Linked DNA regions of Tamandua tetradactyla. The protein of the gene in region 2 interacts with the protein of the main gene of each other region in a biochemical or structural test. Links are inferred from orthologs where the notes say so. Each region holds a gene or a part of one and is shown on either strand. Other genes may lie near its edges. The genes, in order: CD24 and SELP.

Evidence for each region.
Region 1: the proteins of SELP (region 2) and CD24 form a complex in vitro, tested with the Homo sapiens proteins (2 studies listed by BioGRID and IntAct). The link is inferred for Tamandua tetradactyla from reciprocal best matches to the Homo sapiens genes SELP and CD24.

What each region holds. Positions count from the first base shown.
Region 1 is NC_135334.1:14,876,096-14,884,532, reverse strand, and holds CD24 (signal transducer CD24), read left to right. Parts: upstream 1-5,277; 5' UTR 5,278-5,354; coding exon 5,355-5,591; 3' UTR 5,592-7,106; downstream 7,107-8,437. Other genes in the region: olfactory receptor 8C8-like, read left to right, coding at 8,067-8,437.
Region 2 is NC_135330.1:23,441,481-23,450,527, forward strand, and holds the start of SELP (P-selectin), read right to left. Parts: upstream 3,872-9,047; 5' UTR 3,695-3,871; coding exon 3,692-3,694; intron 1-3,691. UniProt on the Homo sapiens protein: Ca(2+)-dependent receptor for myeloid cells that binds to carbohydrates on neutrophils and monocytes. Mediates the interaction of activated endothelial cells or platelets with leukocytes. The ligand recognized is sialyl-Lewis X.

The DNA.
Region 1 (8,437 bases), on a different chromosome or scaffold from region 2:
CCGATGTGCAGATCTCTGTTTGTGCCACTGCTTTCAGCTCTTCTGGGTATATACCAAGTAGTGGTATTGCCAGGTCATAGGCAACTTGATATTTAGTTTTCTGAGGAATCTCAAGACTGTCTTCCATAGTGGCCATACCATTATACATTCCCACCAGTAGTGTATAAGTGTCCCAGTTTATCCACATCATCTCCAACATTTGTAGTTTCCTGTTTTTTTAATAGCAGCCATTCTTATAGGTGTGAGGTGGTATCTCATTTTAGTCTTGATCTGTATTTCACTTATAACTAATGAGAATGAGCATCTCTTATGTGCTGTTTAGCCATCTGTATTTGCTCTTCAGAAAAATGCCTAGTCATACCTTTATTCCACTTTATAATTGGGTTGCTTGTTTTGTTGTTGTTGAATTGTATGATTTCTTTATGTATCCAGGATATCAAACCTTTGTCTAATGTGTGATTTCCAAATATTTTCTCCCATTGAGTTGGCTGTCTCTTCAACTTTTTGAGAAAGTCTTTTGAGGCACAAAAGCATTTGATTTTGAGGATTTCCCATTTATCTGTGTCTTGTTTTGTTGCTTATTCTTTGGTGGAAAGTTTAGGAAGTAAGTCTTGAAGACATCTCCCTACATTTTCTTCTAGGATCTTTATGGTACTGGTTTTTAATGCTTAGGTGTTTGATCCAATTTGAGTAAATTTTTGGATAGGGTGTAAGTTAAGGGTTATCTTTCACTCTTCTGGCTGTTGGTATCCAGTTCTCCCATGCCTATTTATTGAACAGACTAATTTTTCCCAGTTCAGTGGATTTGGGGGCCTTGTCAAAGATCAGTTTACCATATATTTGGTGGTCGATTCTTGCACTCTCAATTCAATTACATTGATCAATGTTTCTATCTTTGCATCAGTACACTGCTATTTTGACCACTGTGGCTTTATCATAAGTTTTAAAATCAGGGAGTGTTAATCCTCCCACTTCAGTCTTCTTTTTTAGGATACCTTTAGCTATTCAGGGTCTCTTTCCCTTCCAAATGAATTTGGTAACTAGGTTTTCCAAGTCTAAAAAGTAGATGGATGGACTTGTGATTGGTAATGCATTGAATCTGTAGATTAATTTTGGGTAGAATTGACATCTTAATTATATTTAACCTTCTTATCCATGAGCACGAAATATCTTTCCACCTATATAGATATTCTTTGATTTATTTTAAAAATGTTATATAGTTCTCTGTGTACAAGTCCTTTGCATCCTTAGTTAAGTTCATTTCCAGATACTTGATTATTTTGGTTGCTATTTTGAATGGGATTTTTTCCTTAATTGTCACCTTGGCTAGGTCATTGCTTGTGTATAGAAACATTAACTGACTTTTGCCCTTTAATTTTATAACCTGCCACCTTGCTGATTTGTTTATTAGCTCAAGTAACTTTCTTGTAGATTTTTCAGGATTTTCCAAATATAGTAATATGCAAATAATGAAAAATTTATTTCTTCCTTTAGATTTTGGGTACCTTTTATTTCTTTTTCCTTCCTGATTGCTCTCACTAGAACTTATAGTAGTACAATGTTGAATAACAATGGTGACAGAGGTCATCCCTGTCTTGTTCTTGATCTTTCAGACTCTCACCATTGCATACAATGCTGGCTATGGGTTTTACATATATACCTTTTATCATGTTGAGAAAGTTACCTTTGATTCCTACCTTTTGAAGCGTTTTTGTCAGAAAAGGATTTTGGATTTTGACAAATGCTTTTTCAGCATCAATGGAGATGATCATGTGATTTTTCTCTTTCAATATGTTAATGTGTTCTATTACATTAACTGATTTTCTTGTGTTTAACCATCCTTGCATTCCTGGTATAACACCCACTCAATCTTGGTGTATAATTCTTTTAATATGCTGTTGGATTCAATTTGCTAATCCTTTGTTGAGAATGTTTTGCATCTATGTTCATAAGGGAGATTGGTCTGTAGCTTTCCTTTCTTAATAGCATCTTTAACAGTTTTGGTACTAAAATAATATAAGTTTCATATAATGAGTTAGGTAGAGTTTTTTTCTTCAATTTTTTTTGACAAGTTTGAGCGGGATTGGCATTAGTTGTTTTTGGAATGTTTGGTAAAATTCCCTCTGTGAAGCCATCTGACCCTGGGCTTTTCTTTGTAGGAAGATTTTTGATGACTGAATCTCTTCACTTGTGATTGGTTTGTTGAGATCTTCTGTTTCTTCCGGAGTCAGTGCAACTTGTTTGTGTGTTTCCAGGAATTTGTCCATTTTGCCTCAGTTGTCTAGTTTGTTGGCATATAGTTGTTCATAGTATCCTCTTATGATTTCTTTTATTACTTCAGGCTCTCATTTCTTATTTGTTTATTTGTATCTTCTCTTGTTTTTCTTTGTCTGTCTTGCTAGTGGCCCTCAATTTTATTATTTTCTCGAAGAACCAATTTTTGGTTTTATTGATCTTTCTATTGTTCTTTGTTCTCCCATTCATTTAACTCTGCTTTAATCTTTGTTATTTCTATCCTTCTGTTTGCTTTGGGGTTAGTTTGTTGCTCTTTCCTAAGTTCCTACAAGTTAGAAGTTAAGTCTTTCATTTTTGCTCTTTCTTGTTTTTTAATATAGGCATTTAGGGCAATAAATTTCACTCTCAGCACAGCCTTTGCCACATCCCATAATGTCTGATTAGTTGTATTCTCATTTTCATTTGTCTCCAAATAGCTACTCATTTTTCTAGCAACTTCTTCTTTGACCCACTTGTTGTTTAAGACTGTGTTTTTTTATCTCCATGTATTTGGGAATGCTTTCATTCTTTGGTGATTATTGAGGCCCAGCTTCATTCCATTAAGATCAGAGAAAGTGCTTTGAATAATTGCAGTGTTTTTAAATTTGTAAAGACCTGTTTTGTGCCTCAGCATGTGATCTTTGCTGGAGAATGTTCCATGAGCACTACAGAAGAATGTATATGCTGGTGTTTGGGGTGCAATGACTGATATATGTCTATTAGGACTAATTCATTTATCAAGTTGTTTAACTCCTCTGTTTCCATGTTGATCTTCTCTGTAGTTGTTCTATCTATAGAGGAGAGTGGTGTATTGAAGTCTCCTACTATTGCTGTTGAAACATCTATTACTCCCTTCAGTTTTTCCAATGTCTGTCTCATGTACTTTGGAGCTCCTTTTTTGGGAGTATAGACATTTATGATTGCTATTTCTTCTTGATGAATTTTCCCTTTAATTAATATATAGTGCCCTTCACTGTCTCTGATGATGTCTTTACCTTTAAAGTCTATCTTGGCTGAGATTAGTATAGTTTGCTTACTTTTGGTTACCATTTGCATTGAAAATCTTTTTTCCATCCTTTCACTTTCAATCTATTTGTATCCTTGTGTTTAAGATGAGTCTCTTGTAAGCAACATATAGCTGGATTATATTTCTTAATCCTTTCTGTGAATCTGTATCTTTTAATTGGTAAGTTTAGTCTGTTAACATTCACAATTATTACTGAAAAGACATTTCTTGAATCCACTATCTTATCATTTTTCTTTCATTTGTCAGAAATATATATTCTTTTCCCTCTCTCTCTTTATATCCTTTAAGTTACCCTTACTGGTACTCTTCAATTCTGTGCCCTCCTCCAGACTTCCCTCTCCTGTCTTTTTTTCAGCTGGCAGAACTCCTTTTATTATTTCTTATAGCTCCAGTCTCTTTTTTTTTTTTTTTTTAAGCTCCAGTCTCTTGTTGACATATTCTTTAGGATTTCTTTGTCTGTGAAAACTTTAATCTCTCCCACAATTTTGAAGGACAATTTGGCTGGTTGCAGAAATCCTGGCTGGAAGTCTTTCTCATTTAGGATCTTGAATATATCATAGAACTACCTTCTTGCCTCCAGGGTGCTAGTTGAGAAGTTTGAACTGAGTCTTATTTGATTTACCTTGTATGTAGTAAATTGTTTTTCTCTTGCTGCTTTCAGAATTTTCTACTTCCCTTCAACATTTGCAAGACTGATTAGTATGTGTCTTGAGGAAGGCCTGTTTGGATTTATCATGTTTTAAGTGTTTGAAATCAGCTATCCTGTCCTGGATATCATTTATTCTTTCTTCTGTCCCTTCAACTCTGCTGTTGTGTGCCTCTAGTATGTTTTTTACTTTGTCAACAGAGTCTTTAATCTCTGTGATAACTGCTATTTTTCTATTCATTCTTTCAAAGTCTTCTTTATGCTCGTCTACTGTCTTCTTGATCTCCTTTATGTCATTAGCCATTCCGTTTATTTTATGAAGTAGAGTTATATGAATATCTTTGATTACTTATTCCAACATCTGTCTCCTCTGCTCTTTTAATTTGGTCATTAGGTTTGACTGTATCTGTCTGCATTGTGATATGCTTAGTGATCCTCTGTTGTTTTTGTTGCATGTAAATATCTTGATTGGTTTACTTTGGAGTTGATTTTCTTCAGTTGTCTAAAGCCTTGTGTTTGTGGTGTGGAAATGTAGCAGAATGCAAGGTACAGTGCAGGGCACAACAGTGCGATAATGTACTGCAGCACAAGTATAGTCACAGAAGATCATAAGAAAATGCTCAGTTTTGGGCATAATTTGTGTTTGTGAAATCTGTAAAACAAACTAGAATTGTCCAGGAAGTAGTGTAGATCTCTAAGTTATACATATAGAACAGAACTTATCAAAATTAGCCAGTTTTGACTCCCAGGGAAAATTAAAAGTTCTGACATTTAGGTCCAGAAATTTTTATTTTCAGAATGCAGAGTGAATGGTTGCAGGGACAGAATACTAGTATGTAATTGGTAGAGGCCAGGGATGCTGTGCCTCATAAAATATATACATAGCCCACTACAGCAACACATATTTTAATGTACAAAATGCATATAGTTGTCGTGGTTCAGAATCTCTTTATATATGTGAATGTGGCAGAGGAGAAAGGAAGAGGAAGCTAAGACTTATCAGGCTCTCTTCATTTGCCAGACCTGGTCCAAATGCTTTATGTGAATTAACTCATTTAATAGCCATAGCAGCCTTATAAGATAGCATTTTTTATTCTCATTTTATAGATACAGATACAAAGTTCAGTGAAATTCCATAGCTCATTCAAAATTTTACAATTAAGAACTTGAGAATTGTTCGTTAAACTCAGTCCATTTACGAACTTCATCTCCTCACTTCACTGAGTTGAAATCTATAAGCATGTATAGTGTTAAAGCAATGATCTATTATTTCATTCATTTAATCCAGAGATTTGTAGAAGAGTATTAAAAATGGCAAGTGACGACCTTGCCGGTGCCCGCCCCTAGCCAGTGGTGCTCCACACACCCAGCATCCAGCCGGACTCGCAGCGCGCCGACGGAGCGGACATGGGCAAAGCGATGGTGGCCAGGCTCGGACTGGGGCTGCTGCTTCTGGCGCTGCTCTTACCCACGCAGATTTATTCAAATCAAACAACTCCCATGCCACATTCAAGTAACTCCTCCCAGAGTACCTTGGCTGCCCCAACTTCAGCTAATGCCACCACCCCAGGAAGCGGCAGTGTCCTGCAGTCTACAGCCAGCCTCCTCATGGTCTCACTCTCTCTTTTACATCTCTACTGTTAAGAGACTCAGATCAAGAAACATCTATGCTTCCCCATCTTCTGAACCCAATCCAAATGGCATCTAAAGTCCAGTGTGGCGAGAACACAGGTCTTCATTGAATCTACTGATTCCACACCTTAATTGATGCAGAAAATGTTGAGAATCCCAAATTTGACTGGTTTGAAGAACATGTGAAGGATTTGACTTGATGATGAATGCCAATATTAAGTCTGCTGGAGTTTCATGTAGAAGATGAAAAGAGACAACTTCCAAAATGAAGAGATTATTTCCTTGAATGTGACTTAAGAAATAGGGACACTTAAAACTCTACCTTGAAAAACAAATAGATTTTCTCTTATCCAAAGAGAAACAATGGGGTGTGGAATGGAGATTCAGTTTTCATTTGGTACATTAAATATATAGGGTCATGAAATGATTAGGTAATATAAAAGCTCCCATGATTCTATTTATGTGTACATTAGACGGAACCTCCAGGTGTTACTGTACATTCTCCATGTATTGTTTCACCAATACTAATTTAATGCTGATAAACTCTAGATAAAAGTTTTACATTGTTCAGCTATCATTGTTTTCTTGGGAACTCAGTTCTTATTTCTGAGGCTTGGGATTTGACATTGTTGTAATTGACATGTGCCAGGCAATGATGTATTGGAATCTACCCCACAATGTAAGCATAATGAATAAATCTTGCTTATTCATTTATAAAATCGAATGGTAGGCATTTCTTATCACATTCCCATCCAACAACAGCACCAGATTCATTTAGCTAAACTGATTCCAAAGAGTAGAAATGCATTGACCTCAGCCAATTTCAGAATTCTGCTTTTTTTGTTTCTGCATATGTTGAGTATATTTACAATTTAATAAATGATCTGTTTTGAAAGTAAAATTGATAGGTCTTGAAATTTAAAAGGCAAATGTGAAGGAGCCAAAAATAATGTAAATCCAGTATTTGGGAAGTGAAGACTGGAACCTATCCTGCATTAAATTCACAAAAACTTTTATACGCTTTCTGTAAATACTTTTTTTAACTATGAATCAGAATAGCCACATTTGGAACACTTTCTTTATCAGTTAATATTTTTAGATAGTTAGAACATGGTCATAAGCCTAAAATTGGCTTGATTCTGGAAAGTAAATCTTTTACAACTGCCTAAATGCACAGAAACCTTTTTAAAAATAAATACTCTCATGAAGTTTTTTGTTCGCATGGTCACACACTGATGCTTAGATGTCCTAGTATCTAATATGACCACAGAAGTCTTGATAGCCAGTCATTTGTTTCCATCTTTTTTTTCTTTAGAAACCCACAGGGAAAAACCAGATCCAACAGGTCTAAAGCTACTGTGTGTGTGAATGAACATTCCCTTCTACTGCATATTTGAATGCTATACATCTTGTTTTGGATTGTATATTGTGTTTGTGTATTTATGCTTTGATTCATAGTACCTTCTCATGTTATGGAATTGATTTGCATTGAACACAAACTGTAAATTAAAAATGGCTGAAAGAGCAATCAAATGAAAAAAAAAAAATGGCAAGTGACTATTTCCAAGGACCTCCCTTAGAGTTGCACTTGGTATCCAGTGGATGCACAGGGGAACAACCAAGGGGCCATCAGTTCTTTGCAGTGGGGATTAGGAATTCATTATATGATATATAAATTGAGCAGAACACTGAGTCCCAGAGGATCCTGTTCGATGATACAGGATGTAATCACAGGCCCAGAAATTTCTACCCTCAAGAGGCTCATCAAACTGAAAGAAATCATGTGGGAGAGGATAATTTTCTGTACTTCTAATTAATCTTCCCCAAGCCATAGGATGTGATGCAGGAAAAACATTCTCACTGAAGCCAGATGATTGTTCTTTAGGCTCATATAAGGTTGTTTTCCTGTTCACAAGTAAACAGGACCTTCTGGACAAATTAAAAGTAGAAATTACAACTTCTTTAAAAAAATACTTCTTCTAGAATGTTAAAGACTCAGGACAGTGCTGATGGCTACTGCCTCCTTCATTGTCAGAAACCTTGTCAGCTTCACGATGGTAGAGATGAATAACCCTCAAGTCCAGTGTCAGTGAGGTCTCCAGGTGAAGGAATCATCTCTGATTTAGTAACCTCCTTCAAACCTACAACTATATAAGACAAGAATTTTAGGGGAGCACTCCAGCCTTTGATATGAGATTGGCAGGAGCTCATGTCAGAGGGAGGAAATTAGGCATTAGGAGGTCTACCAGCACTCTCCTCATTCTCCTCTGCACAATGACCAAGACTCTGAGAGAGGGAAAGAGAGGAAGGAAGAACAGTGTGGACTCTCAGTCCTGGGGAATCTCCTCAGGATGTCAGTTACATGGATGTCTCACCCTGTGTCTTCAAAAAACCTTGATCTTGTAACCCTGCTGATCCAGATCTCCCTTTGCAGGATAAGATTGATTGTACATCACTAAGCTCACCTCTACTCCTGCTCTACAGATCATGCCCATGAAGAAAATGGCTGTGGAAAATGTCTCTTCAGTGACTCAGTTTATCCTTATGGGATTAACAGACAAACCTGAGATTCAGTTGCCCCTGTTTTTTCTGTTTTTGCTGAACCATGTGGTCACTGTAGTGGGGAATTTAATTTTAATGCATCTTATTTGCTTCAGTTCCCACCTTCACACCCCCATGTACTTTTTCCTCTTTAATCTGTCCTTCATTGATCTCTGCTATTCATTTGTCTTTACCCCCAAAATGCTGATGAGCTTTAATTCAGAGAGGAACGTCATCTCCTTTGCAGGATGCATGGCTCAGTTATTTTTCTTCTGTTTCTTTGTCAGCTCTGAGTGCTATGTGCTGACAGCCATGGC
Region 2 (9,047 bases):
TCAGAAGTGCTTTTTCTGCTTGTATAGAGCATAGCTAGAGGTTTCTCTGAGGTCACTGTGACCAACTCTGGGTAGCGTGTAGGGAGCTAGAGAGGTGGGGCTCCTAATCCCCTACTTCCATGCCCCACCCAGTTCTTCCCAGATGGAGCTCTTTCACTTTTCAACTTTTTAAAAAATATGTAAACTTTTCAATAAGATTTGGTCTAAACAAGATTTCCTCAGGAAACCCTCTACCACACCAAACAAGACAGAGAGATAGTGAATGGGGCAGGCAAGCTGGAAATGATGTTTTAAAGTTTCAGAGGACTGGTTAGATGCTTTCTGATCAAAGTAATGAAATGAAACTGCAAGTCACTGGCCATCCCCTGCTTTAATGTGACCATATATTCCTCTTTTTTTCCCCATTACTAATACCGAGAGTCACTTCTCTGATCATTGCAGATCTCAGAGTTGGAGAACACCATAAAAATTACTGCCACAATTTAGCTTTTCTCGGGCATTCTGCAGCAGGTCTTTTGGACCATGATGCTCAAGATGGGGCAAGTGCCACTGCCCATCACTGAGGTGCAGTGAGTTTAAATGATCTGCCCAATTTTACACACCTGGATGCATATAGGGTTACATCAGTAATTTTTATTCTAGTAGAACTCATGAACTCCTTTGAAAGGTTGTTTAAAAAACCATGTTTTTTTTTTTAATCAGTGGTCCAGATCATTTTAAAAAATGCACACTTGCAATTTTTTTTAATAATTTCAGAAGGTTCGTCTGTCTAACCATGTTAATGGACCCTGAGTTCAAATTTCTGAGCTAATGTTCAGGCTAACCAACAAGGGTTTTGTGTACAGGTTTGGGCATGGAGGTAGGTAATGCTTATGAATCTCCCCTTGGTCAATAATTTTCCAATGAAATTTCTTATTGGGTGCACAGACCTTCTCACATCTGCTCTGCAGCATAGTCTTCTGGACCATGCAAGATCTGAGTTACTGGAGAATTAAGGATTCTGTCCTTGTGTCACTAAGCAGGTTAAGTGTTGTAACAAGAGGCAATACCTTTCTAGGAGAAGTGGCTAGAGGCTGTGTTAATCTCTAATGTTCTCAGGCAGTCCACTCCAAGCTGCCCTGGGTCATTTGAATGATATCCTGTGACCTGTGTAAACCTTCATTAAGGCTGCTTTGCACTGTAGTTCTCTTTGACCTTAATTTCCAAAGAACTGAAATGACTTTGGGGTGAGAAGAGGGGCAGACAGAAAGTGAAAGGAGCAAGTGTTTTTCTCTAGACCTCACTTTCACAGGACACCCGTAGGAGACCCATGGCTGCCAGCACTCTAGGTGGTTTACAAAACTGACGAGAATGGTACCACCAAAAGGAGAACCTGGGTGGTATAGCACAGATATTAGTAGCCCCAGCTTAAAAATGGAGATTGAAATACAGAGAGAAAAGAGGTAGGCTCTTAGCCAAACAGTAAATTAGAAATAAAGACAAGAAGCCCGGGGCATGAACACTTAGAATCAAGGCATATATTCAAATTAGACTATTGGGCAGGGAATGGTGGCTCAGTGGCAGAGTTCTCTCCTGCCTTGCTGGAGACCCAGGTTCAATTCCTGGTGCCTGCCCATCCCACCATCCCCTCAAAAAAATTCAGCTATCGCTCACCATTATTTAGGATGAAACAGCAACATTAAACGCTAGAGTGGTATGCCTAAAAGAAATGTAAAAGTCTTGTTGAACAATGGCTAAGCTATATCCCTACAAAAATAAAGAGTGCAATTGGCTTTATAACATTTCTGATCTGCTCTTCAATCAGGGAGTCTTGACACCAGGAAGACAATGTAATGGATGGATTTATGAAACTACCATGTACTTACCAGTGTGAGGATCTTTTCTCAATATTACCTGCTAGTATCATATTTTATATTTTGTGGATTTGATTAATAAGCTTCTACTTAGAGATCTCCAAGGTTGTACATTCTAAGAGCCAATGGCCAGCCCAGGAGACCCTGGACCATTTCGTTGCATTTTGAAAAAACAGGCAATGAAAGGAAGCAAGAACTGGAAGTCAAACACCTGAGATAGTTAACGGTATAAATGGAGGAGAATCCAAAGCTGCTCCTTAGCCCACTAAAACCCTTTCTAACATTGGCATAATTTAACTGTAAGTTACCTCAGGTCTTTCTGATTGAAAATATCACCCTAAAGTTGTTTCCTCAGGTCCTAGAGATTGATCGAAGCCACTCTCTGAATTTGAAGCAGAATTAACACAAGCAGTTTGAGGTTCCTGACTCTCCAAAGCCAAGTGTGCTTAGAGGTGAAGGATGAGGTCCTATCTTAGGAATACTAAACACAATTCCAGGACTAGAGTCCTTAGCACTGCATTGCAGAGTTCCAGCCTGGTTTCAGGATGCCAAGAGGAGCTTCTGAGCAAAAGCATAAGAGGCCATAGGGTGGAGTTCCTGACCTGGGATCCTTCTGTTTATGTGGATATTGGCATTTTTATCTGGGCAGACGAGTTGTAGCTTTCATTAGAATCTCCAAAGACTCCAAGATCTAATATGCTTACACATCTCTGAATTAGAGGAAGACATCAGAGAAGATCAAAGGAGGAGAGGAATCACTCCTTATTCGTTTAATTTGACCAATTCAGGAGAAGTATGACATACAAAAGATAAGACAAGAGGAATTCATAGTCTTATGTCATCGGAGTTCTTCCTCTTAACCCTGTTCTCCCCAACACAGAAAACCCTCATTATAGGCACTTGAAAAGGATACAAATAGTAAAGCAAAGAGGTGGGGTGATCTGATGTAAACACGACTTTCTTCTGGAATCCCAAGGAAAGGTGTCCAAGAGCAGAGACTGTTAAATGGGTCCTCCCTAGCCTCAAGTGCAGGATTTTAGACTCTGGAACTTGTATGGGATATTTCTGGTATATTGGGGATAAAATTAGAGGTGACCTAGGCATATCTGTCTGATCTAGAAAAACCATATGGAGTTCAAGAATGCCTTGTCTTTTTTTAATATTCGCTGGATCCCCAACCCCACTGCATCCCAAGGATTTTCTCTTTCTCAAAACAGTAATAGCTAACATTTACTGATCATTTACTATATCCCAGGCTCACATCTAAAGGCTTTCCAGTGTAATCTTATTTAATCTTCACAATGACACTATGGAGTACTACTACATTCATTTTACAGATGAGGAAACTGAGGCACAAACAGGATTGAGACTTAGGGAAAAACTAGTAACCATGTGTATACTCCAGATCAGTTCCAGCAGACTGAAAGAAATAGGACATCTGGGAATGAGAAACCATTCAAGCACAGGTTTGTCCCAGGGCACACCATGCCTTCCTTTCAACCCAGAGAGAACAGCAATCTTGGAGAAGTGACCCTAGTCCAAGAGGGTCCCTGCAAGCTCCTGTAGAAAGAACCAGCGCAACCTTATGTAGAACACCTCGCCTCTGTAAGCCACGATGTCTTCATATGTAAAATATGAATAACCCAACCTCATAAGGTTGTGGGGAGTGTTAAAGGGGACAGCAACTTTTGAAGTGCATGTAATCTCTTAAATCCTGTTTAACATAAAGCTCCCTAACTTTTGTTGTTCCTGACTCTTTAGCTGCCTAGTTTCAGCCCCAGTTCTCCTTATGCCCACTTCAACTCATCTGTTCCCATACGAACATGAAATGAACTTACCATCTCTTCTGCAGTCTCTGCTGGCTTTCTGCCTTCTGCCTGACCCAGACTTCTTGAAGTCTCGCTGCCTCGCTTTGGTGTCAGGCTGTTTAGAAAAGCAACTTCCTATTCACTTTCCAGAAACTCGCCACAGCCCTTCCCAAGAAGTTAGAACTAATAATGCAGAAGCAATGTTGGCAGCTTAGAAATAGTAGTGACTGAGGAAGCAAGGGGCGGCTTTCCTCAGTGGGAGGTGGTCTGGGAAAGGGGGAGAGTGTGAATCACCCCCGGCAATCCGGGTGAGCAGTGATGGAGTAGTGCCCACCGCCCCCAGGACCTACGTTTCCTTTGGTTATGTAATGAATCACAATTTAAGGTTAAATGTTTGGAAAACATGTTTTATATTAATCAAAATGTCAAAGTGTAAATTTTCCAGTTATCATGAAATCTCAATGAATGTTCGTTTTTCTATTCCAGCAAACTTCTGAGGAAAAGGAGCAAAAATAGTCACTCGCCAAAAATCTTTATATAGGACGGGAAAAAGCCACTGAGGGTTTTCTGGCAGTTGAGGGTAACTATTGGAAAGTATTTTAAAATAGTATAAAACAGACATTGATCATTCAAAAGGAACTTCTTAGGTCTGAATAAAAGATGTGAAAATGGAAAGGTTAATATTTCTAGTCACACAGATTGTGTGGTCCTAAAAGGCTGTGTGGTGCAGTGGCTAAGACTTGGGCTCTGCTACTGAACTGCCTGAGACACATCCTGGCTCCACCTCGGCTAGCCAAGGGGCAAATTAAATCAACTCTCTGTGCCTCTGTTTCCTCAATTGTGGAATGGAATAGTAGCGAATAGAACCTATCTCACAGGGTTGTTTTAGGGTTAAATGAGCTCATACCTGTAGAATGCTTGAAACAATAACCAGCATACAGTTGGCATTCAACAAACATTTGGTAGCAGACCCAAGTATCAAGTAATTGGTATCAAGTCAGAAAAACATCACTCCAGTGCATCCCCTTGGAATCTAGTTATGTAGTAGGGGGATGTTATTCTTTATTCCCTCTACAGTTGTTATGCCTTGTACATAGGCACCTCATAGGAAAGACAAAGAAAATGCAATAAAATGGAAAGAGCTGGAAGACAGTCCAAAGATAAAAGTGATTTATCTGAGCCTCAATTTGCATTTAAGAATTTGGAACCAAGAGGAAAGAATTACATGGTAGTAGTAGAAAGACTGGGGAAGGAGATGTTGATGAAGAAGTGACTGGTGGAGGGATGAGGGAAGTTGAAGTAGAGGAAAAATGGAGAACTTTGAGGCAGCATAGTATGGTGATTCAGAACCCAGAACCCGGAGCCAGACCCCTTGGACAAGTTAACTTTTTTTGACCTGGGCAAGTTATTTAACTCTTGTGAAAGTTTCCTCAGCTATAACAACAATAAGAATAATAAATCACCAACCTCATAGAAGTGTTAGGACAATTCATCAAATTTACATGTAAAGTGCTTAGAATAGTGCCTGGCAAACTGTAAGTGCAAGTGTTAGCTATTATTTCCATAAAATTTGCTTCGATTCCCTTCAGCTTTTATTTTCACTACCCGGCCCTTGTTTTTTTCATTGCCCATTTTTGAAAAAAAATTCTCAGATGGAGATCAGGGAAGGTGGTATGTAGACTGATAGGTTCATATTGATAACATGCTTTAAGTTTAATGATGTTAAATTTTAAGGAGTAGGAGGGAAGCAGAAAAGATTCCTAGGAATATGAATGGGAGGAGATGACTTTGTTTAAAAGCTGTCCAGGCTAAATACAAATTTTCTCATATACATTTAATCTATATTGAAAATTTAGGTTGTTTCTGATTACGTCGCCATTAAAAATAAGATATGATTGCAATTTATTTTAATTATTAGTGGTAGCTATCTGTTTTGTATGTGTTTTCTCTTATCCCCATATTATACTATATGTTTCCTGAGGGCAAGGACACTTTTCTATATTAATCTTACATCTCCCTCAGTATCTTGCAGAGGAAAAATAGTTGTTCAACAAATGCTTGTTGGCTTATTGATTTCATTGATGACTCTGGATAGACACAATGAAAGTGCTCCCTCCCACCTTCCTCTCTGAACTCTATTCTATTACCATGGTACATCCACATACAGAAGAAACATTTAAGTCCCATCGAATCTCCAAGCAGGGTTCTACACAGGGATTCAATAGTGAACAAAAAGGGACTTAGTCCCTTCCCTTATGCAGCTCATGGTTTAGAAGGGCATCGGATGTTAAATAAAAGCCACAAAAATAAGTGCACTTAGAAAAAAATGTGGTTCAATGAAAGAATGTTATGGAGACTTGACCTGAGGAAGCCTCCCCTGAGGGTGTGACCTTGGAGCTGAGGTCAGAAATTTGATTAGGAGTATCATGGTTAGGGAGAGTCTTCTAGGCCAGCAGAGGCTTGGAGCAACCTGGGAACCAAGAGACAACCACAGGGACTGGAGAGCAGGAGAAAAGGCTGGAGAGGTAGGGAGAGTTGGGAACCTTCTAGGCCAGGTTATGGTTGTGGCCTTCATGGGGATTGAGTCAGAACCAGTTTAATTCCTCAGGAAATTTTCCACCTGCATAGCTGGTCCCTCTACTCAGAGAAGACTAGGAAACTTTCTACGTAATAGGTTACATTGATAACATAAAACTATATATATAAAAAAAAGAGCATATAAATTTTTCTCCTTATTGTCAATATAATACTTTCTCAAAAAAAAAAGGAAATTCAAAAAAGCACAAGGAAGGGGGGAAAATCACAATAGTACTATCACCAAAGAGGTAGCAACTCAACATGTTGTTGTTTTTCGTTCATATATTTTTAATGGAATTTGAATAATATTGTAGATTCGGTTTTAAAATCTGCTTTGTTTACTTATTCATACAGAATGTACCTTTCTGACATATTAAGTATAGTTCCGCTTCATCACAACTAAAAAAAAGGCCCCAAAATGTAAGTAGATATAAGTATAGATATAGATAGAGATAGAGATACAACATAAAGATGAGAAATGAAGGATAAACTTAACCTTCCCGTTGCCTAAGTGTCCTTATCAAAACTTCCCAGATATGGCTCTTGAGAAGTTGCCCCATTTCTTTCTGGAAACTCTCTGGTCTGTATTTCTGAAGTGTCTGCTTCCTGATGGCTGGCTGTCATGGCCAAAGATAATCAACTTTCCCCATATAGCTTTAAGAAGATAATTTACACAAATTTCACGAATTTCTAACTCTTCCTGCTGAAATTCTTTTTAAATAGGTTTGTGGTATTATTATTAAGCATTTCTTTTCTCTATCTTCCCTCTGCAGTTTTTGAAAGGGAAGGAAAAGCAAGGATATCAGCCAGTTTGGCAAAGGTCCCAGATAGTGAACTGAACTTTCACAATTGTCTACCCACATAATATTAAATAGAAACAGAATTCATGACACATTCCACGCTGACATATTTATGCCCACTTAGACCCATTTAGTCTTCAACACATTTTGTGGGGACCTGCCCCGTGTTATAACCTAAGCCAGGCTCTGGAGAATCAAAGATGAATAAAGCACATACCCCAGCCTCATTCAGGTCAAAGGCCAGGACAGAGATGGGCATATAAACAGATCATTATAGAACAGTGTGGTATGAGTCAGATTACACATTGATGGTGGAGGTGGGGCAGGGAAGGTGGGAAATGGGTGGAAAGGGTTCTTACAGAGGTTACCTCTGAGTAGAGTAAGTCAGATTGTTTTATACAAGTTCAGTGGTTAAATATGTATGTCACAAAACATCCTAAATTCTGTAGATAAAATAGGAAGTGATTTTTCACATTAAAGGTAATTTTGCCCTCCCCAAAACATGTCTGGGGCCCTTTGATTGACAGAAGGCAATGACAGAAGGATTATCACCTGTGCTAGACACACAGTTAAATGGGTGACCTATTTGTAGCTGAATACAACCTATAGACTATTTAAAAAGTCAGTGAGGAAATGAAAGCAGAGCTATGGTTATATTCATTAGCCACTATTATTGAGCACTTATTCTATTGGCCAGACTGTGCCATTTAAAAAGCTTTAAATAAAGCATTTAAAAAGCTTTACCTCATCGAATCCTTCAGTTCTTGGACTAAACCAAGACACTTGTGTCTGGCTTGCCTCCCCAGAACATGCCCTGCAGGTAAAGGCAGCTTCAGACAGCTAAAGTAGTAAAGAAATAATCAAATCACAATAGCCTTGGAAAAGGATTACTGGCACTAATAAAGACTATGGAGCACTCAGGATGGTGAGAAGTCTTCTTCAAAGTGAGTAGATATTCAGATCTCTGTAAACAGGGAAATTCCTTAGGCCACAAGGGCATGTCCAGGACAGGACACATGCTCACAAAAAATGAAAAAATATATAGAGAGGACTCATGCTTTTGCCACAGAATGATTTTCTTAGTAGAAAAGATAAACTCTAAAGGAGAGCACCAGCCAATGCAGAGCCAATTTGCAAAGACTGAAAGGCATTTTTGCATTGGGTGCCTGTTTTTATTAGCTCCTGATACTCAAGGAAACTTTTGTCAATTCACTAGCCAGTTATAAACTTAAGGAACAGACAGCTCAAGACTAAATTATGGAGTTAAACACATTAAAATTTTTAATTGTTTGTTCAAAGATTGCAAGATAAACACAGAGATGAGAAATGTTGACTAATCAAAGGAATGAGATAAAACTTCAGAAACCATCAACCAGGAATACTACACTTTCAACATGCCTGAAAAATACTTTAAAAGAAATAATCTTCAATATGCTCGAAGAGCTAAAGGAAAACACACACAAAGAAAAGGAATATCAGGAAGATGATAAATGAACAAATGAGTTGTCAGTAAAGAGATAGAATTACAAAAATAAACCAAACAAATAATGGAGGTAAAAGCCACAGTATTGAAATGAAAAATTTTCTGGAGGGTTTCAAGAGTAGCTTAGAACTGACAGAAGGGAGAATCAGTGAAATAAAAAGAATAAGATAATTGAAATGATTCAGGCTGAAGAGCAGAAAGAAAAGACAATTAAGAAAATTGAGCAGAACCTGGGAGACCAATGGGAAGCCATTAAGCTTATCAATACACATATTATGAGAATCTCAGTAGGAAAAGAAAGATAGAAAGGGTAAGAAGGAATATTCAGGAAAATAATGCTAGAAAACTTCCAAAATTTAATGAAAGACATGAATATGCCCATTCAAGGAGCCCAAGGAAACCCAAACAGAATACATAGTTTCATAATTACATAGTAATCAAATTATCCAATGCCAAGAACAAGGAGAGTGTTCCAAAAGCTTCAAGGGAATAGCAATGAGTTGTGTAAAAGGAATCCTGAGAAGAT